Coturnix japonica: one gene and its partners. The main gene of each other region encodes a partner of the protein of the gene in region 6 in a complex. Links are inferred from orthologs where the notes say so. Each region holds a gene or a part of one and is shown on either strand. Other genes may lie near its edges.

Region 1 (3,595 bases), on a different chromosome or scaffold from region 6:
GCTTCACTTCATCTGGATGCTCATCAATAAACTGCCACCTGAAGCTCAGATAACAGACCAAACAAACAGCTTAAGACAATAAAGAAAGAGATCCATGCTCTCTAAACAAAAGGGTCCGGTGGAGCAGCTTGGGAGCTTCTTCTTGCAGCGGTGGCGTTCAGTTGTGAGGTACAGTGGTGACACTCATTGGTAGAGCATCTCAGGCTCACAACCTTCCGATGCTGTTGCTATGTAACCCTTCCATACAATGTCTGTTACCAACCCGTTGTTTTTAGTTAGAAATGCTTTCTTGCAATCAGGGATGGAGCGCAGCGCTCTGCTTGGCCTCCAGCTGCAAGCTGGACAAATCTAATCACAAGAGAGAGGTTATGCTTCGTGCTGAAGCGAGCCCCCAGGCAGCAGCGCTAAGAGCCATCAGCAAGGCTGTCCAGAGAGAAAGCTGTAGGGACTAATCCATGACCATTAGCTACTCTGAAGAAAATAATGGCCAAGGGAAACAGTTTAAATGGCCTCTGCGTGTTTATTGCCACAAGAAATTGACCCCCAAGGAGCTGCTGGAGCTTCTGAAGACTTTGCTGTCAAATATAACATGGCGTGTTGTTCATTCAGCCATTTCTAGTAGAGAACTAGAGTTATATGTACAGCAAGCAGCTTCTTGCCACATACTGACCCACCTGGCACAGCTCCCATAAGGGCTACAGGAAGCTCTGCTGTGCTAACTTCACTGCAAGCCAAAGACTCCAGGAACCAGAAGGGTTAAGAGTTACACAACATTGAACAAGCAGAAGCTCTCTGGGCTCATTAGCAAGGACATGGAGAACATGGGGCAGACATAACATGAGCCCACAGGTAAATCAGCTCACAGTATTAAGTTGTTTCAGAGCAAAAAACACCCTCTGGAAGAACTCAGCCATAGCTGAAACCACAACCGTGTGCTGCAATAGGCCAACACACCAGATAGGATTAACCCTCCATGACTTAAATCCCAGCATGCTTCCACCATGAAATAAACCTGAGATTTAGGACATCTGAAGACCTGTCAACTGCCTTCAGAGGACAAAGCATTTGGCATAGAACATTTCAACACAGTTTCTACAGTTTATTAGTAAAGAAATAAGTGGGTCAGACACCAGTGTCTGCAGCACCTCATGAAGGAACACCAGGGAGCAGAAGTGTTCCTCTGTGGGCAGCAGCCACTCCAGTTTTTGGCACTGGTCCTTTCTGGCTGGCAGGAAAATCCTTTTCCAGCAGCTCTCCTCTAAACACAGCCTTGCTTCCAAGAAGACAATCCACTGGGATACTGAATGCCAAGAACAGTGCTTGGTCCAGGCAGAGGAGCCGTTACTTTTGGCTCTGGCAGTGGTAGCAGGCAGATCTCAATTCAGTCGTGCTGTTTCACATGGTTATTTCTTCTATCTACATGTCTTCAATGCTCCACTTGTATGCCAGCTCCTGAACTGCCTTCTTATTGGCCATCCTGGCAAAGAACTGCTGCTCAAATCCGTTGGACCTACAAAATAACACCAACAAGACCATGGGCTACCGTGCACATCTACTAAAGCCACAAAGCTTTTAAATGACATCACATGTTTGCCACTACTTTTGCATCAACACCTCCAGCTGAGTTTCCACTCTGAGCTGTGGCAAACAGCAGGCAGTGCCACAACAGATCAGAACAGAACCTGGCTCCCTTTTGTCCCAGACAAGCATGTCCCTACCAGCCATTCATAACCATGAGAAGTGTTAAGGTTGAATAAGTTGCATCTCACTCACTGTAAGCTCTCTGAGGCAAAAGCTCATTTAGTTTTACTACCATTCAATGACATCAGTGTATCAGGAATACCTACCTGTCCACCCCATCCCAGCGATACCCAGGCCATATATTAAATCTGTTGAGAGGAGGTGCTGGTCCACTGTACCTAGGTTTCTCTAGAGACAAAAACAGCAATACAGACATTGGTTACTACAATGCAATCTTCAGGACTCAGCTGCCACAGCAACCTCACACTGTTCACTGAACAGCAGCTGCATTTCTATGCTCCTTGGGCATTAAAACCTGCACCAGCACAGCTTTCCATACCTTTCTTCTCCTTGTTCTCTTTGGCTTTTCTTTTTTTGATGAACTCAGCCATGGGGTCTCCTTCTCTCTCTTGTTCTCTCAGCATTCGATCCAGATCTTCATCGTCAATGTAACGGGCCAATGGTTTCTGCATTTCTTTTATTGCATCTTCCACATTCTGCTGCTGCTGCCTTTCCTGTGCTAATCTAAAAACACATACAAAGTACCACCTCAAAACTAAGGAATAATTTACTGCCATCTGCTCAAATTGTAGTATTGATCAGAATCTACTGTGTGTAGCATCCCTGAGAAGCACCCAGCAACAGACAGGGTAATCCCACACAAAATAACCTGGTCCCAGGCACAAAACTCATTGCCAACCCCCAGTCTGCAACCTGTAAAGTGACATGTCACCAAGACACCTTACCCCTTTCCCCATCTGGCATATTGCTCATCATGCAACAACTTTGCTTCATCTTTCTGCTTCTGCTCAAGACGTTCCTGCACAAGGTCCCTCTTGCGGCCTGACTTGTCGCGGAAGATGGTTTCCGTGTGTCGGGATTCCTCTAGGGATAACAGATATCCTGAGTCACTCACGTGGGAATATTTCAGTTTCCAAACCACTCCATAGCTCATGCAATGAGCTATAGGTGTAACAGCCTGCTCCTTCAGATCAGGAATAGCAGATGGGGCAGATGAGACACAAAAGCCTCACAATTGTCTCATTGGCACCTCTTTGAAATCACCACTCATAAATTTCTATTTTAGAGACCCAGTGGCTTTTACCTGTGTATATTCATCAGCATGCCTGGATGCCAGCCAACACAGACACTCTCCATCAACACCCTTACTACCAGCATTTTAAGACATGCCCTGATACAGCATTAACAGGCAGCCAAAAGCAGACTAAAAGCTGATGTCTGTGCACTGGTTTCAGACTTTTACCTTCCAAGTGCTTGCTACTTCTCTCCTGCTTCCTGAGCTCCTGCTGCTCTTTCCGCAGCACGTCAGCTGACACCAAACCAGCTTTGACCCCAGACATCATCTTGGCCTGCAAATCAAACAAGAATCACATTTACTGCTGGCTGAGAGCTGCCCAGTGACTCACAGGTATGATAAGGGGAAGTTACACGAGAGGCAGCTCTGTTACAAAGCCACTTTGCTGCCATCTTTGCAAACAGCTTCCACAGACTTCCAGAAATACAGAGTGCTCATGCAGAGCTCATCTTCCATCTACCTCACACGTGGTCTTATGGCAAACTGACAGTGTGGCACAGCTGCATTTACAAGCTATATATCTGCTCTACCATCTGTAAGCCATCACACTGTTAATGATTGCTATCAGAGGAAGCAATCTTCAGCACAGACGGAAAGACAAACCCCTTACCTTCTTGGGAGATCCCTTCTCATCTGGGTAGCGATGATCTGAGAGATTGGAGGGACTCCTTGAACCACGCTGACCCTTTCCAGAAGGCAGAGCCCTTTGAGGATGAGAGAAATTGGAGCATGAAGACTTGCTCTAAACACATTTAAGAG
Region 2 (4,156 bases), on a different chromosome or scaffold from region 6:
CACTTATGGAAACTTAAATAGGACAGATCCTTACATGGATAATAGTGATAAAATCCAGCCACATCTGACATCCCAGCACTAGGATTTAATGCAGAGATGCTGCCCAAAGAAGAAATTATAGATTTAATCCCAACCAGCTGCCCTATCTAATGATGATATTTTACCAAAGTACAGCTATTAATATAGTTTGTGATGTCGGATCACTGTATCACAGCCTCAAATCCATCACCAACCCACTGATCCACCAGAAAGCACCCAAGGAACCAGCTGTTTTGACAACAAAGGGTGGTAATTGCACGTAGAACCTCTAACAAACTTAATTAGAGCCATGCATGCTCAAGCCTGACAGTGACACCAGAGCCTGTCCTGTCTCATGTTGTAACTACCCAAAAAGCACAGAGCTATCAGGAACTTATCGGACCAACAGCAAATCACTTGATGTACATTTCTCTGCCTTCTCCAAGCATAGAAAGCTGAGAATAAAACCATGCAGATTTCCGTTTACAGACAACGTGAAAAATGTTTATTTGGGAAATACATCCCTTATTGTTTCAGACTACAAAAAAAATCACTCCTACAAAAGGAGGGGACTTTGAGCTCAGCATGCAATGCCAGTTACATGTAACTTTCTATCTACCAGCAGGGGTAGATCTCCCACTGCACCTTCTTCATTCACTCCAAACCATTCTGAACTGCAATCACTGCCCTAAGAACAGCGATTTCTAGTTAGAAACACTTTGTAGAAGAGTGATATTGTCTCCTTTTAACATGATCCGACCTGCAACACAGAAAGGAAATGGGGGATTAGAGAGATCCCAGAATCCAAGAATACCTCATGTTTTCACATATTATCCCACAACAGGAGATGCTTGCAAGAAGATGCCCCTATTATAGAGGGGGAGGGTTGCAATGAGTCCTATCCCTGCTGGCAGCCCCATATGGAAAGCATAGCAGGGCAGGGTCCATACTCATAATCCACTCCCAACTCTCAGACACCATCTCAGCCCCAGCAGAACACTGTCCCTGCTATAAACTCAATCCGAATCAACGCATCCCCTCATCACAGACAGCTTTATCTTCTCCAGCAGCGGTAAATAGTAAATACCACCAGTCAGGTGGCTCCTGCTTTGGCCAAGAGTTGACCCAGCAGGTACGAGAATTGCTCAGGGCTACCAAGTTTAGAAACAGCCCAAAGGAGTTTGGACCAGACTCCTCCAGACACCTCAGTTGTACAAAGACAGCATTTAAAAGATAACAACTGGTCTCAGGCACAGGGAGATTCTCCTTTACATTCAGCAAAATCATCACCTTTAACAAACATCAGGAACAAAGACTGAGCCAGCACCTGCCCAATGCTCTCCCAAACCAACACCTGGCATGTGCTTTCCACCTTTAAGTGTTGCTACCAGCAAGGCTCACCCAACCACCTTTCATGCTATAACACGTTGACATACCCAGCTGCTTCCTTGATTTTGTTTTGGAGTGAATCTCCTCTGCATCATCCAGCACCAGGTTCATATATTCATCGAAGCCCTGAAAATCAGTGGCAAAAACACTCAGTTGGTAGCACACAGACTCATGAACGTGGGAAAGCCAATGGTAACACATGGACATGTTGGTACTCACAATGATGCAGCCTTCTATCCGCATGTTCACCTGCTCATAAAGCCACACCTGGATCCTGGACCTCTGCAAAACAATCAGGGTGAATAAACTGGAAAAGAAATGCTTCAAGCAATGCTGGTCTTTGCTTCTGTGCATTTAAGAAAGCCTTGCTAGTAATGTGGTGAGAAATCTTTGCAACCAACAGCCACTGCAGCTCTGAAACACCCCAAAGAGCAACTCCCAACACAGAACCTTGTAGGTGTGGGTTATTGAGTGTGTGTTACACACACAGGGGCACAATCAACATACAAAGGTGTTAATGCAAAGGGAGAACGCTCATCTCTGAGCCAGCTCTTATGCTCCCAAACAGCACCAGTTCTTCGTTTGAAGCCGATGGGCTCCAAAAGCAGCCAAGAAGTTACAAACCCAAAGGCGAACCCAGCCCTGCCCCGGCCCCAGTACTCACGTTCTGCAGGTAGCGGAAGATGAGGTTCTGTAGAGCAGCGTTAAGGACGGGAACAACTCCAGAGAGACACAAGGCCCTGCAGGGCCGCTCCTACCCTCCACTCGCCATCGGCCCCAGAGACGCCATAGGCTCCATAGGCCCCATAGACCCCACAGGCTACATAGGTCCCACTCGGCCCCAGAGACCCCACAGGCCCCAGAAACCCCATAGGCTCCATAGGCCCTGCAGGCCCCAGAGACCCCATAGGCCCCACAGGCCCCATAGACCCCATAGGCTCCACAGGCCCCACAGGCCCCACAGGCCCCACAGGCTCCATAGGTCCCAAAGGTCCCACTCGGCCCCAGAGACCCCGCAGGCCCCATAGGCCTCAAAGGCCCCACAGACCCCATAGGCCCCATAGATTCCCCCATAGGGCCACACACCCCATAGGCCCCATAGACCCCACAGGCCCCATAGGCCCCATAGGCCCCACAGGCCCCATAGGCCCCATAGGCCCCATAGGCCCCATAGGCTCCATAGGCCCCGCAGGCCCGTCCCCTGCCCCTCCGGACAAGGATACGATGGGCTGCACCATCACCTTCTGCACCTTCTGGCCCTGCCCTCGATACGCCATGGCTACTCCCTGCCCGCCGCCACCACAAGCTCCGCCGGAAGTCGCAGAGAACACCGGAAGCCGCTGAGCAAGGCGGGAACGCGCAAGGGACGCTGGAAGACTTGCCGCTCTAGGAAAGCGGGAGGACCGCGTCTCTACTGCTCGCAGATCCCACCAGTGCTGTCTCGCATTAAGATCCCGCCCACCAATACGCAAAGAGGCGGCGCATGCGCAGTGGTGGCGGCGGCGGGGCCATGGCGGGCGAAGCTCCGCTGCCCTCGGTGGCGCTGGCGCCCCCTGGCGGCGGGTCTGGGCCTGGGGTCGGACCGGGCCGAACCGACGGTACCGAGGGGCTGTTCGTGGCTCTGGGCGCTGGGCTCGCCGCCGTCAGCCACCCCCTGCTCTACGTCAAGCTGCTCGTCCAGGTCCGGGGCCTAAAGGGGGTGTGGGGGGGATGAGACCCCCGTGTGGGGGCAGGGGGGAGGCCTGAGGTGTAGGCCGAGGTGTGAGGGGGGGTCGTGGGGCGTCTCTATGGGGTGACGGCCTGTGTAATGATGGGGAACCCCATAGGGAACTATGGGGACCCTGTGCAAAGGGAACCCCCCATATGTGGCAATGGGGGTTCCCTCCTTATAATGTGTTGAGGGGGGTAATGGGGGGTGACGGCCTGTGTAATGATGGGGAACCCCATAGGGAACTATGGGGACCCTGTGCAAAGGGAACCCCCCATATGTGGCAATGGGAGCTCCTTATAATGTGTTGAGGGGGTTAATATGGGGGGTGAGGCTGTGTAATGATGGTGGAACGCCCATAGGGAGCTATGGCGGACCCTGTGTAAAGGGAACCCCCCAATATGTGGCAATGGGAGCTCCTTATAATGTGTTGAGGGGGGTAATGGGGGAGTGATGGCCTGTGTAATGATGGGGAGCCCCATAGGGGGCTATGGGGACCCTGTGTAAAGGGAACCCCCCATATGTGGCAATGGGAGCTCCTTATAATGTGTTGAGGGGGTTAATATGGGGGTGACGGCCTGTGTAATGATGGGGAACCCCATAGGGGGCTATGGGGACCCTGTGTAAAGGGAATCCCCCATATGTGGCAATGGGGGTTCCCTCCTTATAATGTGTTGAGGGGGGTAATGGGGTGAGGAGGGTCGTGCTGTGTGATGGGGTGGCACTCAGTCACCGTTATCTGTGTGTATGGATCCCACCTGTAGCTGTGAGGATGGAATGGGGAGCACTGTGGGAATTGGGATATTGCTGCATCAGGGACAGCTGTATAACAGGGAATGGGAACTCATATATAAACATATATACCAAAGATAAAGACCAACGTGTGCAGTGGAGGCTTGTTTATGTGACAGGTGAGGGGACCCCATAAAATGGGATGGATGAAGATACCCACACAATGGGGATTCCTATATAACAAAGGATTGAATGTGGGTCTTCATCCCTCTTCATCCTCAGAACCCCTCTGTAATAGGGAACCCTATA
Region 3 (4,059 bases), on a different chromosome or scaffold from region 6:
CTCAGTTTGACTGTTTGCTCTGTAAATGCAGGTGATAACACAACCTTAAAACAACATTAAAAATTCTTCATGAAGAATAACTTCTAACTCTTTAGAGGGTAAATTACAGCAGTATTGAACAAAAAGGAAGCAAGATGATCTTTGAAACTCAATGCATCACACAAAAGTACAAAGAAATCAAATCCATGTCCACTGTTTTCTAGACAACGCACTTTGAAATCCACCTCCAACGTATTTGCCAGCTACAGAAAGAAGCCAGAACTCTATTGTGCCTAAGAGGAGCTCTGTCATATAACAGCAGACAGGGTTTTGTCAGAAACATTTATTAAACAGAAGTTACCAACATATATGTAGACAAGTTAAGAGCCCCTTTAATAATAATAATAAAAAAAAAGCATTTTGGTCAAGACCAAAATTATCTTCGCTTCTGGAAGATGTTGCCACGACCCATACCACGGCCTCTTCCTCTTGCAGCCACTGAAGAAAGAAAACATCAGGGATGACATGAATTTGATGCAACACATTTATCTCAACAAGTGACAAACCAAACATCAATAACTCTCAGTCTCTTCCTTAGAAGCACAGAAGTTAAGCTACAGTATGAGGCCTGGGAAGTGATAAAAGTAAATAGAAGTTTTCTGTGAAAACAACTGTAACTAACAACTACACAGCTTTGCTATTCATAACAGAGTATGCATTAAGAGCAATGAAATAGTAACACACCATTGTTCCTACTTTAAATTGTGTGAATCTGTAGCCAGAGAGATTTAAGACCTCCTGCTCTTCATACAGCGTGACAGAACTCGCTATATTTTGTCAGATGTTACTCCCCCACACATCCTTACTGCATTTGGTAGAGTTAACCAAGGGCTTCAGAGCCCATGATTATTTCTTGATCTTGTTATAACGAGACTGTTCACACAAAAAAGGTATTAAAGAGGATGAACTGCAGAATGGCTAACAGTTACTCATTTAAAAAACTTAAAGTATCAACCAAGTGTACGTATATGTGTGTGTGTGTGTATATATATATGTATGTATAAATATATATATATATATATATAAATATATATATAAATATATATTTTTTAAGCTTAAGAATACTTAGATCATCATACTTTGGGTAATCCAAACAGGCAGCAACCACATTTACAGAAAACCAAAGGTGAAGTTTTACCTAACTCTAGCAAGGCCACTTACTGTTCCTGAACTATCTGCAGTATCAGTATTGTGCATCAGTCTGAGTTTTGACTGCTGTCACTCATTCAGCTTCTTACAGCTCATCTTTGCTTAGTGTTAGGGATGAAAACATCTCAGTTTCTGTACAGCAAAACAGGAAGGTAAAGAGGGAACACCAGACCACAAACACACTGTACCCACCCTGAGCTTTGAGAATAGCTGCTTTTCCTCGGCCAGCTCCAGAGCCCTGGTTCTTATTCTTCATGCTCTTTAGCATAGGAGCGTTCTTCAGCATATCTGGTAAAATGAGAAACCGTATCTTGCTGCCTCTGTACACCTGCTCAAGCTGCGCCACTCGCCCATCCCTGTATGTCACTGTTATGTTGGACATCTGGAAAGTAAAGATCAGACAGTGGTCTCAAACACAGTTTGTTTTAAGTGGCCTTAAACATAGTTTTGTACTCCCACTACTCCTGCTCATGGAATATATATATAGCCAAGATTCAAGTAATAAACTCAAAGCCCTATCAAGCATACAGCCTTCAACTGTTATTGTTATATAAGGCATCTATAACCATTTAAACACAGTCTTAAAGCTTGCTAAAATTTAAGCAAACTCACTATTTTCCCCTCCTCCCCACTTGCTTAATTAGTTTTATTAGTTTTGTTTTCTTATTCAGATAGTTTAAATAAAGTTTTACTGGTCCCAGCTATTAAGGACATTTTTATTTCAACTACAACTTGCATGAAGTTATCAAAATTAAGGCTATTGCAATGCCTTAAAGTCCTCTGCATTAAGCACAGCTCTAAGCTCATAAATTAGAGTTTATTTATTATCAACAGGCAATAAACAAAGAACTGCTGAAGAGAAGGTGCTCACAGAGGAACCAGGAACAGGAAATCCCAATTCTGAGCAATTTGGTGTGCTCAGTAATCTGGAATTCACTTCATTACTGTAAGTGCACAGAGTAAAAGGGCTTTATTTATCCTAAGACTAAAAGTAAAAGGTCTTTAAATCCCGCTGTCAGTCTGCTGAGTGCAACCACTTCCAAACAGATGAGATAAACTTCTTTTACCTGGCAATTCATGTTGTCCTCAGCCTCAATGAGCTTCCCACGATACACCTCCCCAGTGTTGGTCTCGCAGGTCACAATGTGGCCCTCTGCCTCGTGCAGGACTTTAATGGGCACCCCGATGGACATGGCTGCAACACTGCGGCTCTACTCCTGGGACAGAGAGCACAACATAGAAGTGAATAAAGGAAACAAACTCCCAGTCGTTCTGCAGTTCGGCTTTGCCTACAGGAGCCGATTTGCTCCATTGAACAAAGGCCTCAGTGCTTTGGCAATACACGCCTATCCCAAGGCCCGGCCCAAGGCTGAGGGCAGCCCACCCTCTCAGCCCACATCTGCCGCCCTACGAAGCTGCAGGCACATAACAAACCCCCACAACAGACCCACCCCATAACAAACCGACCCTATAACAAACCCCCACCGACACTCACCTCCCACCAACCACCCTAATGGCCGCCGCCTTCCCGCCGTGCACAGAGCCCCGGAATCGGAAGGGCACAGGAGCGGATCCTGCTACTGCTCCTGTCCCTCAGGGTCTCGCTGCCTTATCACGATGGTTCCGCTGCACTTTTGTTCCTCCCGAAGGCAGCTCCCTCCCTCCCAGCTCCGAGCAGCCGCTTCGGGGTCCGCCCCCTCCGCAGCCGGGAGGAGCCGTCGCCGCAGCAGGGCATGGCGCGGCCCTAAGTCCGGCGGGGCGGGTAGTGAGCGGGCGGCCGCCGTCATGAGGAGCCCCCGGGAGCCGGGGGAGCCCCCTCCGCAGGCAGGTCAGTGACAGCTCCGGGGCCTCGGATCGGGGGCGGCCTGTCAAGCACTTGGTGGAGCTGAGAGTGCTCCGCCTTGTTTACAGCCGCGGGTCGGGCCGTGACAGCTCTGTTGGGGGTGGGGATGAGAAGCGGGCAGCGCTGGGCCTGGTTGTTACCTTTGAAGTCATAGTGTATGGAGAACAGGGACATCCACAGTGAGTTGTGGTGTTAGAAGGCCCTGGATGGTAACAGAGAATGGACCTGCTCATAACACAGCTCATAACACACCGCCAATGCTTACATTACTTCCTTCAAGCGGGATTTGAGGGGCTGTTTGTCCTTCTAAAGTATAATCAACATTGCTAACAAACACTGAGTACACCAATGGGTGTGTGCCAGCTTTCAAAGTTATGATTAAACCCAGTGACGTGATTGAGAAAGTGCACCGCGTTGTTGCTGCAATAAGCCGTAACTCAGTGAGAAAACAGTTTAAAACTGCAAGACATTGTCCATAAAGTTTTACATATAAAGCTGTGTTGAAACTGCAGCAGCCCCCAGGATGCTGAATGCTTTTTATCCCCATCTGAAAGCAGAGCTGACTCTGTGTTAGCAAAGGTTTCCAAGGGTCTGTACCAGATCGAAGGTAAAGTCATTAAGAAAAGCCTTTTATGATTAACTCACTTGGATTGTCTTTGAAGTTACAATGCCAAGCGGAAGCACTTCAGTCCATCAAGCAATCTGGGCTTTGCTGAAACTGAAACCACTACTACTGCCTGTAAAGAAATAACAAAGGATGAATTACTGATATTGCAGATTTTCTTGATATAGATTGGGTTTTGTCTCTCTTCTTTGGCCCTTTTACAGATGGTGTCATTTGTGAGCTGTCTTACCTTAAAAAATTACTCACAAAAAGACATGGCAGTAGAAGAGGCTGAAATCCATAGGGCTTGTAAGAAATCACTGCCTAGAGATCCTGGTTGTGTCTGTTTTTTACCCATTTGACCTATGACTTTTTGTTGGCACAGAATACAGAGCTGAGAACAAGCTGAATTGGAATGGTGAAG
Region 4 (3,963 bases), on a different chromosome or scaffold from region 6:
CCAAATAATTAAGCATAAATTACAGGAGAAATGGCAAGCAGTTGCTTTAGAGCACGATTACCTTTAACTTATTTCTGGAAAGACACACTGATTAACACTGCTGGGCAAAACTTTTACTGCCTGAAGACACAAACTTTGTGGAGTTTACTGGATATTAATTGTTAACGGCGCAGAACAAAACCAGAAGCATTCCCTATTCTGTTAGGCTTTAAGGGCTTTATCCACAGGAACACAGCCTCAGCTCCCTCTGCATTCTGAAGCCCCTTCAATTCGGTTCTCCAGCAGATTGTTTGTATCCACTGCCAAGTGAGATTTCAGTCCAGCACCGCTCCTGAGGCTGCTCTATATTTTCTTATTAGGCTAAATACAAAGTTACACACAGAAACCAGGGAAACAGAGCAGACATTTTGAAAAGAGAAACTGTGCATCCCATTGGTGCTGCCTCTGAGAATGCCATAGGTTAAGATTTACTCACACTTAAAGACGTTTACACTTTAAAACAGATGCATGAGAAGCTGTGTAAATAACTTCTCATGAAAGGAGACTACAGACACAATGAAGGTACACAAGGCAGAGTTCGGTACAAACCCTCAGAGATGAAAGCAATACAGAAATTAAGATTTCCAATCACATGCCTTCAGAGCGAGAGCACGAAAACACAAAGTAAAACAAGCAGAGACTGGGAAATCATGCACTCACCTGCTTCTCTTTTCTTGGACTTGACTTTTGGTTCAACATCTACTAGCAAGGTGTCCAGGGGCAAACTGTCTGGTAGGATGAAGTATCGGATGTTATTCCCCCGAATGCTCAATGTCTCCAGCTGTACAGGCTCCCTGTTCTTCAGCGTCATTTTCACAGCCTTGAGATGAGTATTCATACTGACATCCACTCCTGAAATAACACAAGGCTGATTTCAGGGGTGGGAACACACAGGATGACTCCTCTTTGGCTATTATTAACTGTGCACGTGCTTCAAGACTTTGCTAACACACGCTTCTGGATCTGTGCCATTTGTTAATTAAGCCTCTTAAGTGGAAGAAGAAACTACATCTTTTTTTCCTCTATTAATTATGCTGATTTATCAGCTGCTGCCCTCAACACTGATATATTTCCAAAGGAAGAGCCACTTACCACCAGCTGTAGGGATCTGTTCCTAGGTCTTAAGTCATAGCAACACTAAACACTTAAAATGATTCCTCCGGACAACAAATAAACTGCCACTTACTACAAAAGCATAATATTTGTCTTTTTTACTCCTTTCAAAAGAAAGAAAACGAACTTTTGAGTAGAAAAATAACACTGCGTTTCCTTCTAAGTACAACCATGATCTTCTGATCAAACACATCTAACATCAGCATCAGAAGCACCAACTGCAGGTGGCACCGTGGCTGCAACAGGCTTCGTACACCCATGTACAGGGATGACTGTCATTTTAGAACCATGGATGGCACTGCAGGGTTTTACAGGTTCTTAGCACAGCATGAGAGAGACTTTGCTCAACAGCGAAGGCTGTGAGAGTACAAGGGTAGGAGGCACAGAGTGCTGCCACCACAGCCAGCTTCTAACAAAATGGACGGATCTGGCTGCAAAATAACGTGCTTTTAACCCTTACATCTCAGTAGATTGTAACCATGTTCAGCATTTACCATTTATCTGTGCTACCGTTAGAAAAATATCTCTCTGCCAGTGACTCAGTGGTGACTTCTTGATGCAACTACAGTGTACTGCAGCTTTACCAATGAGATCACAGAACGGTTTAAGTTGGAAGGGACCTTCAAGTTCCAGCCCCAAAATGTTCTGAAACATAAGTGGATAGGCTGTATGACCACTGCCCTTTGATACAGCAGTGACACTGTCTCACAATGCCTGCATGCTGCTGCAGTAATTTCAGATTACCACACTTACACCAGCCACGCCAGCACCGGTTTCCTTTACCCCACACAGCTCAGATCAGCCTGGGAGGCTGCTGGCACACCGTACCTGTGATGGTGCCATGCACCTGCGTCCCGTTCTTCAGCTCGATGGTCACAGTCTCGTGACTCAGCTTCATCAGAAACCTAGGAATTAAGCACAGAGTGTTTGCTGTCACACTAAGCCTTATGTCCAACCACATGCTGATACGGGGAACCGATCGATGTACATCCTAACGCAAACGTTCTCAGCTGCCATGAACTGCACTGAAGGTGCTCCATGGGGCAAAGCCAAAGCCCCAAACGGCGCCCAATTGCCAGGGGCTGGAAACGGTGGCACCGGGCTCAAGCAGCGTCGGGACAACGCTTCCAGTCACAGGGTTTGTGTTTTGAGCGCCCTGCGTGAGTTGGGTTCGGGATCCCTCGTGCATCCCGTCCAACTCGGGCTGCTCTCTGACCACCAGCTAAGCAGCAGCCATTTTGGATCTCGGCACCGCGTGAAGGCGCTTCCACCCGGCTCCGCCCCCAACCCCCCGGGGTGGTTTCCCGGGCAGCCCCGCTCGCAGGCCCAGCCGCTCGCCGCAGAGCCCAGGCCGCAACGAGGCCCCGACAGGCCGGGCGGCCTGTGTGTGGGGAGGGGGAGGCGGCCTGCGCGGGCTCCCCGCCGCCTCTCTCCGCGATCCGCCTCCATCCGCTCACCTGACGAGCTTCATTGCGCCGGCGGGACGGCGCGGCGGCCGCGGGGCTTTCGGCGGGCAGCGGCGGCCGCCCCTGGGGGCACGAAAAGGCCTCGGCGGAAGCGCCGCGAGCGCGGGCGGACAGGAACGCGGCCTCCAACGAGCGCACCGAGCCCCGAGAGATTGAGCGGCCGCCGCCGGCTGCGATCAATGGGCGGAAGCGGCGCGGCGGAAGGGGCGGGACGCAGCGCGACTGCGCGGGGCTGAGGGCGGGCGGGCACTGAGGGGATGCGCTGCCGCCATTTTGGAATGGTGGGCTCGGGATTATACGTATCTAAGCACTGTAGCTGTGTGCAAATAGTCTAGTCCGCACCAGCGATGCTTCTACGTTAAGCAGTTGATAAGGAGCTCAGGCACACAAACGCAGCGGCCAGGATCTAGAAAAATCAGACCTTTTATTATCATTGATGAGTACACTGTTGTGATTTCTGCAATACAGACTCTTTTTGTAAAGCACTGAGATCTGGCTGCCCTCCAGCTCTGAGAACCCACGTTAACCCACGTCTCTCCCTCCATCCCTACACACACACCACAGCTCTTCTTTTCCACATGAAATCTGTTATTTTATGTTTTGCTTTAAACAAACCGCAAAGAACCAAGTTTGAGAGGGCAGCTGCCCGAGAGCCGTAAGAACCATTACATACTGAGTTTATGGTGTTCCTGCACTTTGAGTCTATGACAGAGGTGACACTGGTAAATGAAGTCAGAGAGGAGTTTCCAGTTAACCACCAATTGGTATTCCCAGCACAGCATCGAGAAGCAGACAGAGGCATGGTGAGTACTGATGTTTATGTGCAGGTTATGCTCACATAGAACCAGAAGCCTCCAGCAACATTCAAGGTTAAAATGAACAGATAACTGCAAAAGTCTGTACACAGTTTCAGTCACAACACAGTGAAACACTGGAGTATCAGTGCTTTGTGTTCTAACCTCAGTAACAACAACTGTGCTAGCTCTAAGATTCTACACGTTTCTCCCCCCATTTACATTTTATAACTGCAATCTGAATATACAGCTGTACTTACAGGAAATATTAAACAATGTGCAGCGCCTTAAGCAAGTTTCACGGCTGGTTTTGAACAAACCATATAAAATAAGTGACAAAATAGTTTAAAATTGGTCCTCAAGTAGGATTACTTGTTTTTTATACAGCTTGGAAGCACTAAATTTAAAGACACACATTTATTGTTAACCAGCACATGTTATTTTGTAGCTTTTTAAAGAAAAAAACCTTTCCTTTTAAAGTGTGTTACATCATGCATGAAAAGCAAGAAGCTGCTCCCAAGTGCAACATGGCATTAGGGTGACACCTCCTC
Region 5 (4,276 bases), on a different chromosome or scaffold from region 6:
AATAACAACATGCAGCAATTCCTTTCACCTTGCTGTGAACTCAGGTTTGGAAATAAGAGTGTCTGAAAGAAACCCAGGCTCCAGTCATTAGAAATACACTGCGTGCACAAGCTGTCTTTATGCTGAAGCATTTCATTTGCTTTTACAATTAAAAACTTGAATTCAGAATCCCTGACATGGCTGCAAAAATCCCCCCCAGGCCTTTTGTCAAAGAGGCACGGGAGAGTGGGACTGAAATACCAAATCTTTCTTGCAATTATGCAGCCCTTGGCAAATTAGCAAAGACAACTTTGTATTTGATATTTGGGAGAATGAACTTAAGATGCTTAATGCCCCTTCACACACACATACACACTCACTCAAAGGGATTCGTTACCACACACACATCGTATATTCCTGTATGTATTTCTTCCCACACACTCATTTCAGAACAACAGACTGGTGCTCCACACTCCCGCTCTGTTTAAAGAGACAGACCACCAGCCACTTTTCCCTTAATAGCACATTTTGTGCTGTTGCTTTTGGTGATCTCTGAACATCCCACCTCCCGTATCCATGTTACCTTCAAAGTTATTCAAATGGGTGGAAGGGAAGCAGTGAAAGGGTAAATATCTGCACTAAGAAAGCAAAACCCAAGCAACAGTTTAAGCTAGAAAAAAAGACTATTTTCAGGCTGACACAACTCAGTTAAATCCTGTGGCATGTTGACTCCAGATTTCATGCTATCTTAAAAGAACATAAATTATTAAGCATTCCAAACACAGGATAGTATTCATATAAAATCCCATTATCTTTCACACCAGTTAAAGCAACAGGCTCTTCTAGAACCCTTCTAGTGTTTAACATCAGCTCTTCCAATACTTACTAATGCCTGAGTGCTGTTACACATTGCCCTGCCTCTTCTTAGTGCTCTTCCCCAGGTTCTTTGCCAATATATGACATACTCAACTTCATACCTCCTATCCCATCTTGTAAGTCACACCACCTTTCTAGCTCAGCTGTCTCTGTATGTTCCCAATGCTTTTCTTTTCACTCCATTGCCTGAAATGCTTAATCTGTAAAGATTACCTTCTCCTGATTCCCTTCCACAAGCAGTTATTGACACCACTAAAACTAAACCTTCCAAATCAGTTGCAACCCACTCAATCTCCTAAGCCTGCTTCTGTGTCTGCTTAATGTCAAGCAAACAAATATCTAACGTGAAAGAAATTCAGAGTGTTGGTCACATCACAAAGAAAGAAAACAACAAAACAGCTCCAGGCTGCTTTGCTATAAGACAGACAATAACGATACTTACCTGTATTTGATTTTAGTATGAGAGGGAAGGTCTCTGCTGGAATACTGCTTGGATAGCTGACTTAAGTCTCCTTCACCTTTTCCTCTCCCTCCTCTTGCAGGCTCAAACGTTGGCCTCGCTGCTGTCGTCATTTTAGTTACTAGAGTCAAGGGCAAAAAACAGTCATTACTATAACTTAAAGTGAAAGCCATTCACCAGAAGCTACGTCATTCTTGGAACTGCTGCAGCAACAGCAAATCCCACTACACAATACAAATTATCAACTGGTGCATGAGCCTTAAAGCTTAAGAGCTTCTTTTACTGACAGCTTCTTTTCCAACATGCCTGAAAGATGATAGAGACTCAATCAAGAATGTGAGGTCATGTTTATAGAAGTGGATAAAATGCCAGGAGCCAGTCTCCTATCCTTATATCTTGGTAGAAGAGTAATTCTTTCCCCTCTGGAAAAAAACACAGGATCTAATAATGAAATCACAGAACTGTGGGGGTTGGAAGGGACCTCTAGAGATCATCGAGTCCAACCCCCCTGCCAAAGCAGGCTCCCTACACCACGTCGCACAGGTAGGCGTCCAGGCAGGTCCTGAATATCTCCAGAGAAGGAGACTCCACCACCTCCCTGGGCAGCCTGTTCCAGTGCTCCGTCACCCTCACTGTAAAGAAGTTCTTGTGCACATTCGTGCAGAACTTCCTATGCTGTACTTTCATCCCATTACCCCTAGTCCTGTCCCAACACACTACTGAAAAGAGACCAGCCTCACCACTATGGCTCCCATATAACTGATGCCAAGAAGTGCTCAGCACTGCACAAAGCAGCTGGAGGCCACGCAGACCCAAACCATAGAGCCAAAAGTTTAGGGCAGTCCACCAAGAAACAAACAAAACAAAAGAATCAAACCAACCAACCACCCTGGATGACCCATCAGTGCCATCTTCAGTCTGTTAAACGAAACTACACACATCCATAAGCACAGCCTAAGGACTTAAATAAGAGACATACAAAAGGTGGTGAGGCCCTGGCACAGCTGCCCATAGAGCTGTGTGCCCCATCCCTGCTCAAGGCCAGGTTGGATGAGCCCTGTGCAGCCTGAGCTGCTGGGGGCAACCAGGGGTTTGCTCCGATCAGGTTCCATCAGCGCAGCATTGGAGCAGCCCCGTCAGTGCCGCACAACGCCGGCTCGGCTGAGCCGCCTCCATCGGCGCTCTCCCAGGCCCGTCCAGGCCGCCCCACGGCCTCAACCTCCCTCCCGGTGTCCCCCCAGGCTGCCCACCACCCCAGGGCCGACCCTCCACATTCAGAAGCCCCGATTTAATCCCTTCAATCCCCCTTCTCTGACCTCGGGGTCTCCTCCCGCTGAGCAGCCGGGCCCTACGCCACCGCCATCATCCCGCCCTCTACCCACAAGGCGCCGCGCAGCCACCACAGAGCGGAGCGGCGGAAGGAGGAACTACCATAGAGATGGAAGGCGGAAAAACTTGTTACCTCAGTGCGGAATTGAGTCCGCCATGTTCGATAATGAAGTGGAAATAGACGCTGTTGGTGCCTGAGTGGCACCTGCTGTCCGCCCTGAGGTACAGCAGCACTGCGTGTGAGCTGTGCTTTAAAGTCGTGTATGACTGTGAGCAGTACACACACCCTGCTGTGCTGCCATAGAACCCTTGTGCTGCTGCTTTTCTGTGTGCTTACAGAGTCATCCCAGCTCCTCCCGGCTGCCTCCCACCCCGCTGGTTCTTTGGCTGTTTGTGCTCAGTCACAGCTCCTGCTCCACTGTCTGCCTTTGCTTCCTGATGGCTGCCAATGGCTTTGCAATGAGGAAGAGACCTTGTGACTATTCTCAACAGAGAAAAATCCACGAGTCAGCAAGAATTCCCTGCAAAAATAAGCACAGAACCTGAACTAGGCCCTTCCTAAGCACCCAGGAGAGGCTCACAGGGGAACGAGCCATCCCCCTGCAGCCCACAGGCACATCTCGCATCTCTCATACTGTGTCCAGGTGTGGAGCCCTCAGTACAAAAAAGACATGGAGATTTTGGAAAGGGTCGAGAGGAGGGAAACGAAGATGATCAGGGGACTGGAGCACCTCCCCTATGAGGACAGGCTGAGGGAGTTGGGCTTGTTCAGCCTGGAGAAGAGAAGGTTGTGGGGTGACCTCATTGCAGCCTTTCAATACCTGAAGGGAACTTACTCCCAGGACGGGAGTAAACTCTTCGAAAGGGCTGATAATAGCAGGACTAAGGGGGACATGTTTTAGAGATTAAAAAGAGGGAAAGATATTTTAGGCATCCTCAACGCGCACTCGCACTCTATCATACCAGGGGGAAGTTCTTCACTCAGGAGAGTGGTTAGGCCCTGGAACAGGCTGCCCAGGGAGGTTGTGGATGCCCCGTCCTTGGAGGTGTTCAAGACCAGGTTGGACAGGGCCCTGGGCAACCTGATCTAGTAAAGGTGTATGTTTGGTGGCCCTGCCAGGCAGGGGGTTGGAACTACATGATCCTTGAGGTCCCTTCCAACCCGGGTCATTCTGTGATTCTGTGATCTCCGTATGCAGACATGGAGGAGCCCACTGTGCAGCAGTGGAAGAGTCCTGGAGGCGGAGCAGCCCCAGGCCAGGGTGCAGCCTGTGGAGAGGAGCCTACAGTGGGGCAGGAGGGCTGGGGGAGCTGCTGCCCGTGGGGCTGTGCTGGAGCAGTTCCCCACCCACAACATGATGTCAGCTGAAAGGCACTCAGCAAGGGAGGGAGGAGGGTGCTGGGGGCATGGGTGGCACTGAGGAGCACACAGTTCTGCCGCTCTCTATCACAAGCTCGTCCCTGAGGATGAATTATTGTTTCTGCAGAGTCAAATGGTTTCTTTGAGCTCTGACAGAGCAATTAATTTTAGCCATGTGATATTTACATGCAGATGAGCTGCTGGGCTATATGTCACTCAGTATCTGCATCCAGTGTTAGGCAAAAATGCCCCACTGTGGGAATTATTAGCCA
Region 6 (4,154 bases):
GAGCTCAGCACAGCTGGGGAACCCCAAAATGTTCCTACCCACCCCCCTCTAAACACCGCACGCCCAGACCCTATTCACTCCCCTCCCCGCTCAGCACCGGGTGCGGACCCCTCTCCATTTCCCAACAGAATCCCAACCCCAAAAGGCATCCAGAGCTCAGACAGCATCCCCCGAGTGCTCCCCCACCCTAAAGTCCCTCGACCGAGCCGCCTCCCGGAGCAGAAGTTCCCCCCTGGAGGATCACACAGACATTTTGGGGGGGGGGGTCCCCCACCTGCTGCGCAGCCCCATATGGCAGCACCGCTATCGGGGCTCCCCACCTGCAGCCCCCATTTCTCCCCATCATCTCCGAGCCCTCCCACCCCGCTTTGTTCCCCTCCCCCATTGTTCCCGACAAACCCAAACCCACCATACCCCCGGGTCCGCCGCCGAGCAGCACAAGGGCTGAGCCCTCCCCGTGCTGTCCGTTGCTCTGTCCGTCCGTATCTCCGTCGTTCGCTCCGTCCCTTCCTCGCTCCGTGCGCGCTCCCCCCGCAGCCCCTTTTATCGCGCGGCCGTGGCGGCGATTGGTTCCTTGCGCGGTGCGGATCCGAGCGCCGCTCCTTTGTGTGCGGCCGCCTCTCCCTCACCCGGCGGCCCCCGCTGCCCCCACCCCAAAACCGCATCGCCGGCCCCATCCCACCGACCCCCCTCCCCAACCCCCCCATACCCCCCCCATACCCCCNCCCCCCATACCCCCCCCATACCCCCACCCCGCATTCTGCCGCCCACCGTGGGTGCGATGCTGCGCTCGGGGTCGCGAAGCAGCGCTCGGGGTGCGGGTACCACCCAGCGAGCGGAACCGCGATGGTGGATGGGGTTCTGTAGGGGTTCTGCTGGGGTTTTGTTGGGGTTCTATTAGGGTACTGTTGAGGTTCTGCTGGGGTTCTATTGGGGTTCTGCTGGGGTTCTGTTGGGGTTCTGTAGGGATTCTGTTGGGATTCTGCTGGGGTTCTATTGGGTTCTGTAGGGGTTCTATTGGGTTCTGTTGGGTTCTATTGGGTTCTGTTGGGGTTCTGCTGGGGTTCTATAGGGTTCTGTTGGGGTTCTATTAGGGTTCTGTTGGGGTTCTGTTGGGGTTCTATAGGGGTTCTGTTGAGGTTCAGCTGGGGTTCTGCTGGGGTTCTGCTGGTGTTCTGTTGAGGTTCTGTTGAGGTTCTGCTGGGGTTCTGCTGGGGTTCTATTCGGGTTCTATTCGGGTTCTTTTGGGGTTCTATTCGGGTTCTATTGGTGTTCTGTTGGGGTTGCTATGGCGACTCGCAATTCACCCTCCACGCCTGCAGGTGGCGCTATGCGGCCCGAGTCCTCCCGTCCAGCAGGGGGCGCTGTGCGGCTCTGCGCCCATCTAGTGCCGCTCTGTCTTGAGGCGGCGGCTCAAGATGGCGGAGGGAGGCTCAGTGTGCGGCTTCGTGTTCAAGAAGCGGGGCCTGGCGGCGGGGAGGGGGCGGCGGAAGCGGCCCAGCAGCGACCAGGAGCAGGGTGAGGGGCTGACGGGGGTGGTATATCCCGATGCGGCCTGTTGTGGTGCACGAGGGAGGCGGAGGAAGGCCGTGGGTCGTACAGCCCCTCAGTGGGGCCCGGTTATTGAGCTGTGTGATTGAGGGGCGCTGCCTCCATCCCCGGAGCCCCGCGGTCAGGCCCATTAAACCCCATTAAACCCCATTAAACCCCATTAAACCCCATTAAACCCCGCAGGGAGCAGCGGCGATGAGGGCAGCACCGTGGTGAGGAAGGAGCGACGGAGGGACGCCCCCAACCCCATGATCCAGAAGGTGAGGTGCACACAGGGCGCTGTGCTGTTGTTGTGTGGGGCACATCCAGCCTTCACACCCGCTGTCTGTCTGTCTGTCTGTCTGTCCGCCCTTCAGACCAGGAGGTGCACAAAGGAGCGGCCCTCATACGCCCTGAGCAGCAGCGATGATGATGATCCGTCGAAGGAGATCGGAGTCACGTACAAATCAACAAGGTCGGCGGTAAGGACTGAGCGCAGATGAGCTTCTGGGGTGGGGTTAATCCCATACTCATATCCCATACTCTGCTTCTGTAAATGTGCCATCAGCTCTTCTCAGTTTTGATCTGTAGCTGTGTTTCCCTGTCCCTCCCCTCCTAACACACAAGCTGGGTTTATTCTCCTGATATTCTGCATTGTTCAACAAGGAGCTCAGAGCAGCTCTGCTGGGAGGAAAGGTTGAGGGAACTGGGCTTGTTTAGCTTGGAGAAGAGAAGGCTCCGGGGAGACCTCATTGTGGCCCTAATACTTGAAGGGCAGGGCAGCACGTTCTTAGGAGGAGGTGGAGCCTTTGGGGTTCCAGAAGCTTTTGGTGTGTAAGATGGGTTTGTTTTTAATTTGAGGCTGGTTGTAATTATTTGGTTTCTGTGCAAATGAAGAGCTGACAGAACCTCAGAGCATTTGTCTGTTCACTGTATTCACAAGGAACCAAGACTAGATCACTGAATTAAAACAGAGCACAGGCTGCCCACAGCTGGGTTAAAAGTTCAGATATAACATCCTGCCTGTGGGCTGGGTGGTCTCATGGCTGAAGCACTGAACATGAGAGACCTGAGATCAGTTTCCAGCTAAGACAAGATGAAGCTTGAAGGAGTAAAGTGGGGATTTCTGTGTCCTGACTCTGCAAACTAAAACCTGGGAGCAGTCAGTAATTAACATCCTGTCTTGCACAAGTACTAGGCTGGATGCTAAGAGAAGATGCTAATAGAAGTTAGAAACTGCTGGAGGGTGAAGCAGGCCATGCCCAGCACTTGTTCAGTGACTGGCCCTCCAGGTAGCCGAGGGGTTTCTGTCTCATGCAGCCTTTCTTTTTACTGTTATCACATATTGTTCTTGCTTTTCAGAAACCTGTTGGCCCAGAAGACATGGGGGCCACAGCAGTGTATGAACTGGACACAGAGAAGGATAAAGATGCCCAGGCCATCTTCGAACGCAGCCAGAAAATACAAGAGGTTGGTCAGCCTCACTTCTAAGAGTTCATGCTATGCAGGAGTGTGTGTGCTTACTCATCTCCTTTTGCATGCCAAGACCTTGAGTCTTTTCTTGCCTGCATATTTGAGAGGTTGGAAGTGTTGTCTATGTAAATGGGGGGACTTGCTGGTGTTATTGACTACTTGGTATTAAGGAAGGTATGGCCAGGAGGGGAGGTTGGTATGGGAGAGATAAAAGCTCGCTTGTGACATGAAGATCTTCTGACCCCTAATTGCCTTTTTTTTTTTCTCTTCTAGGAACTGAGAGGAAAAGAAGATGATAAAATTTACCGTGGTATTAACAATTACCAGAAATATGTGAAGCCCAAAGACACGTCAATGGGAAATGCCTCTTCAGGAATGGTCAGGTAGGTTGGGACGAGCCTGGGATGGGGGGGGTGGATCATAGAACCACAGAGAATTTCAGACATTGTCCCCAGGGGCACTTTTCTGGGCTGAAATGATGCTGTTTTTGGAGCTTGTTCCTATCTAATGAGTTTGGTGTCTGGTTCTGGCCGGGCCCGCAGGGGTTTTCTCCATTGCAGTGACACAGCTGGACTGAGCCTTCTCCCACCCTTTCAGAAAAGGACCCATCCGTGCTCCAGAGCACTTGAGGGCCACGGTGCGGTGGGATTACCAGCCAGACATCTGTAAGGACTACAAGGAAACAGGGTTCTGCGGCTTTGGAGGTGAGTGGGTCTTGCCTGCAGGGATCCAATCCAGATGGTGAGCCCAAGTTTTGTGGCATGAAATTGCACAGTTAGTAATTCATGGGCACCTGTTTGCAGAGTTAGTATTTCCTCACCTGAGGTTATGTAGGTGGTGGGATCTCCTTTTCCTTTTCCTATGTGGGTGAATGCTGGAGCTCTTGCTGTGGCATCCAGAACGTGATGCTTGTGGCCTGTTGATCCTGAGAGGGCAGGATGAGGCCCTCTCTTGGCCTCATCTCTCTTGGCCCTGCCCTGTAGCATGGGTGGGTACAGAAGTAATTGGGTTTCACCTTGTACTGAGCAAATCTCAGGCTGCCCCTGGATGAGGTGTCCTTTGAACAGCTGGGCAATGGGGGTAGATTGTTCATCCCTCTTTTGTGCTTTCCAGACAGCTGCAAATTCCTCCACGACCGCTCAGACTACAAA
Region 7 (4,120 bases), on a different chromosome or scaffold from region 6:
CCTGAGGTTCCTTCGTGGAGGCGGCGGAGGCGGCAGCAGTGCGAGGTCGGGACGGAGGGACAGGGCCTGATGGCGGGGAGGCCTGTGGGGTTCCCTTCAACGGTGAGGCCTGAAGGGAGAAAGCGGTGTGAGCAGGATGGGTGAGGTGTGAGGGCTCCCCCCGTCCCATTCAGAATCACAGAAACACAGAATTATCAAGGTTGGAAAAGACTTCACTAGGAGAGTGGTGAGGCCCTGGAACAGGCTGCCCAGGGAGGTTGTGGATGCCCCGTCCTTGGAGGTGTACAAGGCCAGGTTGGACGGGGCCATGGGCAACCTGATCTATGGGGTCTCTATGGGGATCTATGGGGTCTCTATGGGGGTCTATGGGGTCTCTATGAGGATCTATGGGGTCTCTATGGGGATCTATGGGGATCTATGGGGGATCTATGGGGTCTCTATGGGGTCTCCTGGGCAACCTGATCTAGTAAATGTGTATGTTTGGTGGCCCTGCTTGGCAGGGGGGTTGGAACTACATGATCCTTGAGGTCCCTTCCAACCCGGGTCATTCTGTGACCTAGAAGATCATCTAGTCCAACCATTCCCAATACTTCCCAGCTAAATCATATTCATCAACACAACATCCAGATGTTTCTTGAACACTCCCATGGTCAGTGACTCCACCACCTCTTTGGGCAGTGCATTATAATGCCTGACTACCCTTCCTGAGAAGCAATACTTCCTAATATCCAGCGTGACTCTCCCCTGACACAGCTTAAAACCATTCCCTCTACTTCTATCATGGATTAGAGGCTCACTACAACCTCCCTTCTAACTTCTAACTAAGGGAGTTATAGAGGGCTATAAGGTCTCCCCTGAGCCTCTTCTTCAGGCTGAACAACCCCATCTCCCTCAGCTTCTTCTTATAAGTCCCCATTATGCTCCAGACCCCTCACCAGCTTCATAACCCTTTTCTGAATGTATTCTCAATGTCTTTCTTGCAGTGAGGTGCCCAAAACTGAACACAGGGGGACAATTACCTCCCTGTTGCTGCTAGTAACACTGGTTTTGATACAATATAGGATTCCTTTGGCCTTCATGGGCCATAATATCGGTTCATATTCACTCACCTCTGGTGATCGCTTCTCAGTACGGCGACTCACCAGCATGGGCGGGTTATAACGCAGCAGCGAATCGGGCGGTGGGATCATGGCGGCTCCTCGGTCGCTATGGTTATAAACGCCGCTCCGTTGTTTGTTCTAAAGGCGCATGAGCGTTAGGTAAAGATGTAGTTCCGGGTGGTTGAGAGAGAGGTAACACGGATGTGAAAACGTAATTCCGGTTGTGGGGGGAGTCGGTAGCAAGATGGAGGCTGAGAGTGAGAGGAGGAGGAGGGAGAGAAGGAGGGGGGAGATGGCGGTGAAGGCCGAGAAGCGCAGCCCACGGAGCTGCGGGTCCCGTTCGGCTTATGGGAGCCAATCCCCCCCCATTGAGGAGCGACGGGGCAGGAGCAGCAGGTAGGAGGCCTCATAGGGCCTTATTACGGCCCTGTATCGTAACCCTGAGGTTCTGTGCATTTCTTGTGTACTTGATTTAAAGGTCGCCTAAAAGGAAGAGTAAATCCGGCCGGAGGAGCAAATCACCGCGGGGGAGGAGGAGCAGGAGTCCGCACCATGGAGGTGTGAGGGTAAAGCAGGTAAATGGCGTTGGGAGAGGCCAGGCCCCACAGATCCCCATAGAGACCCCACAGATCCCCACAGAGATCCCATAGACACCCCATAGAGCCCCATAGAGACCCACTGAACCCCATACAGACCCCATGCAGACCCCATAGAGCCCCACAGACAACCCATAGATCCCCAAAGACACCCCATAGATCATGTTGCCCATGGCCCCGTCCAACCTGGCCTTGAACACCTCCAAGGACGGGGCATCCACAACCTCCCTGTGCAGCCTGTTTCAGGGCCTAACCACTCTCCTAGTGAAGAACTTCCCCCTAACATCCAACCCAAATCTTCCCTCTTTTAACTTAAAACCATTTCCCCGTGTCCTGCTATTGTCAGCCCTTTCCAAGAGTTTACTCCCCTCCTGGGAGTAAGTTCCCTTCAGGTATTGAAAGGCTGCAATGAGGTCACCCCGCAACCTTCTCTTCTCTAGGCTGAACAAACCCAACTCCCTCAGCCTGTCCTCATAGGGGAGGTGCTCCAGCCCCCTGATCCCTCTAGAATAACTCTTAAGGAAGAGAGAGTCTTACAGTGTAACATCTCCTTGCTCTCTGCTTCGTGTTTTCCTGGAAAGAACTGAGTGTTTGTACCTTTTAGTGAGCCCAGCCCCTGTTATTCCTGTAAGAAAATGAGTATTTGTGCCTTTAAGTGAGCCCAGCCTGCAGGCTGACCCTGAAGGCTGATGTTATGATGCATTGCTCTCTGTCAGCCTTGCATTGTTGGGCCCAAGTTGTGGGAATTCACTTTGGAAGGAAATAAATAAATCTAGATATACACGTACCATGTTACAGTCTGTGTTTTTCATGTGTTTTCTGTCTTCTTCCTCAGGAACGAGACGATCATCCTCACAGAGGAAATGAAGAGAGAAAGCAGAGACACACGTCAGAGCAAGAACACAGACGAGATAGAAGCGGTGACAGAGACAGGCACAGAGATCACTCAGACAGGAGGAAAAAGGAGGAAAGACCTGGAGGTCGAGGCCATGAGAGAGAAAGAGATGTTCAGAACATCCGTGAGCAACAAGCAGAGAGGGAGTTCTATAACGAAAGAAGACGAGAGCATCGACAGAACAACGAGGGGAGCGGTGCTGAGCAGAATCCAGAACACAAACAATCTGATAACAAACCAAAAGATAAAGCTGTAAACAAAGAAAAACCAAGCTTTGAACTGTCTGGTGCCCTTCTGGAGGATACCAACACTTTCCGAGGCGTTGTGATTAAATACAGTGAGCCCCCAGAAGCTCGGATTCCAAAGAAACGATGGCGTCTCTATCCATTTAAAAACGATGAGTTCCTGCCTGTCATGTACATTCATAGGCAGAGTGCTTATCTCCTGGGCAGGCACCGCAGGATAGCAGATATCCCCATTGATCATCCCTCCTGCTCAAAGCAACACGCTGTGTTCCAATACCGGTCAGTATCGCTCTGTATCCCTCTGGTAGGTGGGGATTATTTGGTCGCTTGCGTGCAAAGGGAATCAAAGAACGTATTGGATGTGCACAGATTAGAAAATGCATGTTTGCTCAATGGTTTTAGATAGGTGGAATTTAGGTATGGATGTAACATATATGTAATTCCTTTTTGTTTAACCATAAGCAGCCTCGTGACTCTTAACATATATATAATTCCTTTTGGTTTAACCATATCTAGACTTTTAGTAAGAAACACAACACAACAGGATGAAATACAGAACTGCCTGTATATCTGAATTGGAGTTATTAGCAGGTGGGATTGGCAATAAAGAACGTTTAAAGGAGGGTTTTTCATTTGTTCCTTCCCAACAAAGGCTGCCGATCTCCTTTATAAACAGCAGGGTTGTGTGCTTCAGGAGGCAGAGCTGCTCTCTTAAGGAACAACCATCTGTTCTGCTTCAGGATTTACTATGTTATATGATCATAACTTTAAGGGGTGAAGCAGTCTGTCAGAATCTTGAGTATTTCCGTGCCCTGTCTAATTATTCTCATTGTACTTGCTCAGATCTTTGAAGTATGGTTAAGTATTTACAACAGTGGGGCTGATGTGTTGAAAAATCCATGTGTTATCATTGACTTGATGGGTTGTTTTTGTTTTCTAGGCTTGTGGAGCACACACGCGCTGATGGCACAGTTGGCCGCAGGGTAAAGCCGTATATCATTGATCTTGGTTCTGGCAATGGTACTTTTCTAAACAACCAGAGGATTGAGCCTCAACGTTACTACGAACTGAAAGAAAAGGATGTATTGAAGTTTGGCTTCAGCAGCAGGGAGTACGTCCTTCTCCATGAATCATCTGATAAATCAGAGGCCAACGCAAAGGACGATGATGAGGAAGAGGAGAAGGAGGAAGAGTCCGATAGTTAACAGACATGAAGGCAATTGGGGATGGGGGAGCAGGGGAGAGGAATCTTTTACAATAAAACATGCATTGGGATGGAGATGT

The links.
Region 1: RNF113A (region 6) and BUD13 share a complex: the UniProt entries of both Homo sapiens proteins name them as parts of the minor spliceosome. The link is inferred for Coturnix japonica from reciprocal best matches to the Homo sapiens genes RNF113A and BUD13.
Region 2: RNF113A (region 6) and SNRPE share a complex: the UniProt entries of both Homo sapiens proteins name them as parts of the minor spliceosome. The link is inferred for Coturnix japonica from reciprocal best matches to the Homo sapiens genes RNF113A and SNRPE.
Region 3: RNF113A (region 6) and SNRPD3 share a complex: the UniProt entries of both Homo sapiens proteins name them as parts of the minor spliceosome. The link is inferred for Coturnix japonica from reciprocal best matches to the Homo sapiens genes RNF113A and SNRPD3.
Region 4: RNF113A (region 6) and SNRPD1 share a complex: the UniProt entries of both Homo sapiens proteins name them as parts of the minor spliceosome. The link is inferred for Coturnix japonica from reciprocal best matches to the Homo sapiens genes RNF113A and SNRPD1.
Region 5: RNF113A (region 6) and CWC15 share a complex: the UniProt entries of both Homo sapiens proteins name them as parts of the minor spliceosome. The link is inferred for Coturnix japonica from reciprocal best matches to the Homo sapiens genes RNF113A and CWC15.
Region 7: RNF113A (region 6) and SNIP1 share a complex: the UniProt entries of both Homo sapiens proteins name them as parts of the minor spliceosome. The link is inferred for Coturnix japonica from reciprocal best matches to the Homo sapiens genes RNF113A and SNIP1.

Annotation. Positions count from the first base shown.
Region 1 is NC_029539.1:4,398,579-4,402,173, forward strand, and holds the end of BUD13 (BUD13 homolog), read right to left. Parts: intron 3,541-3,595; coding exon 3,447-3,540; intron 3,111-3,446; coding exon 3,005-3,110; intron 2,626-3,004; coding exon 2,487-2,625; intron 2,266-2,486; coding exon 2,081-2,265; intron 1,930-2,080; coding exon 1,848-1,929; intron 1,511-1,847; coding exon 1,417-1,510; 3' UTR 501-1,416; downstream 1-500. UniProt on the Homo sapiens protein: Involved in pre-mRNA splicing as component of the activated spliceosome. As a component of the minor spliceosome, involved in the splicing of U12-type introns in pre-mRNAs.
Region 2 is NC_029541.1:2,015,940-2,020,095, reverse strand, and holds SNRPE (small nuclear ribonucleoprotein E), read right to left. Parts: upstream 2,791-4,156; 5' UTR 2,685-2,790; coding exon 2,631-2,684; intron 2,099-2,630; coding exon 2,072-2,098; intron 1,690-2,071; coding exon 1,627-1,689; intron 1,534-1,626; coding exon 1,455-1,533; intron 779-1,454; coding exon 723-778; 3' UTR 501-722; downstream 1-500. Other genes in the region: MTCH1 (mitochondrial carrier homolog 1), read left to right, coding at 2,891-3,088. UniProt on the Homo sapiens protein: Plays a role in pre-mRNA splicing as a core component of the spliceosomal U1, U2, U4 and U5 small nuclear ribonucleoproteins (snRNPs), the building blocks of the spliceosome.
Region 3 is NC_029530.1:7,447,982-7,452,040, forward strand, and holds the start of SNRPD3 (small nuclear ribonucleoprotein Sm D3), read right to left. Parts: upstream 2,801-4,059; 5' UTR 2,684-2,800; intron 2,406-2,683; 5' UTR 2,382-2,405; coding exon 2,256-2,381; intron 1,571-2,255; coding exon 1,381-1,570; intron 478-1,380; coding exon 416-477; 3' UTR 1-415. Other genes in the region: protein GUCD1, read left to right, coding at 2,806-3,016. UniProt on the Homo sapiens protein: Plays a role in pre-mRNA splicing as a core component of the spliceosomal U1, U2, U4 and U5 small nuclear ribonucleoproteins (snRNPs), the building blocks of the spliceosome.
Region 4 is NC_029517.1:39,382,146-39,386,108, forward strand, and holds the start of SNRPD1 (small nuclear ribonucleoprotein Sm D1), read right to left. Parts: upstream 2,801-3,963; 5' UTR 2,624-2,800; coding exon 2,610-2,623; intron 2,058-2,609; coding exon 1,981-2,057; intron 892-1,980; coding exon 700-891; intron 1-699. UniProt on the Homo sapiens protein: Plays a role in pre-mRNA splicing as a core component of the spliceosomal U1, U2, U4 and U5 small nuclear ribonucleoproteins (snRNPs), the building blocks of the spliceosome.
Region 5 is NC_029516.1:165,900,092-165,904,367, reverse strand, and holds the start of CWC15 (spliceosome-associated protein CWC15 homolog), read right to left. Parts: upstream 2,801-4,276; 5' UTR 2,778-2,800; intron 2,744-2,777; exon of another isoform or gene 2,632-2,743; intron 1,437-2,631; 5' UTR 1,429-1,436; coding exon 1,298-1,428; intron 1-1,297. UniProt on the Homo sapiens protein: Involved in pre-mRNA splicing as component of the spliceosome. Component of the PRP19-CDC5L complex that forms an integral part of the spliceosome and is required for activating pre-mRNA splicing.
Region 6 is NC_029542.1:2,229,085-2,233,238, forward strand, and holds the start of RNF113A (E3 ubiquitin-protein ligase RNF113A), read left to right. Parts: upstream 1-1,354; 5' UTR 1,355-1,418; coding exon 1,419-1,518; intron 1,519-1,734; coding exon 1,735-1,811; intron 1,812-1,907; coding exon 1,908-2,012; intron 2,013-2,892; coding exon 2,893-3,000; intron 3,001-3,276; coding exon 3,277-3,386; intron 3,387-3,600; coding exon 3,601-3,707; intron 3,708-4,116; coding exon 4,117-4,154. UniProt on the Homo sapiens protein: Required for pre-mRNA splicing as component of the spliceosome. As a component of the minor spliceosome, involved in the splicing of U12-type introns in pre-mRNAs. E3 ubiquitin-protein ligase that catalyzes the transfer of ubiquitin onto target proteins.
Region 7 is NC_029538.1:3,338,498-3,342,617, forward strand, and holds the start of SNIP1 (smad nuclear-interacting protein 1), read left to right. Parts: upstream 1-1,320; 5' UTR 1,321-1,344; coding exon 1,345-1,496; intron 1,497-1,578; coding exon 1,579-1,675; intron 1,676-2,531; coding exon 2,532-3,115; intron 3,116-3,776; coding exon 3,777-4,041; 3' UTR 4,042-4,120. Other genes in the region: DNALI1 (axonemal dynein light intermediate polypeptide 1), read right to left, coding at 1-109, 1,110-1,190. UniProt on the Homo sapiens protein: Required for pre-mRNA splicing as component of the spliceosome. As a component of the minor spliceosome, involved in the splicing of U12-type introns in pre-mRNAs. Down-regulates NF-kappa-B signaling by competing with RELA for CREBBP/EP300 binding.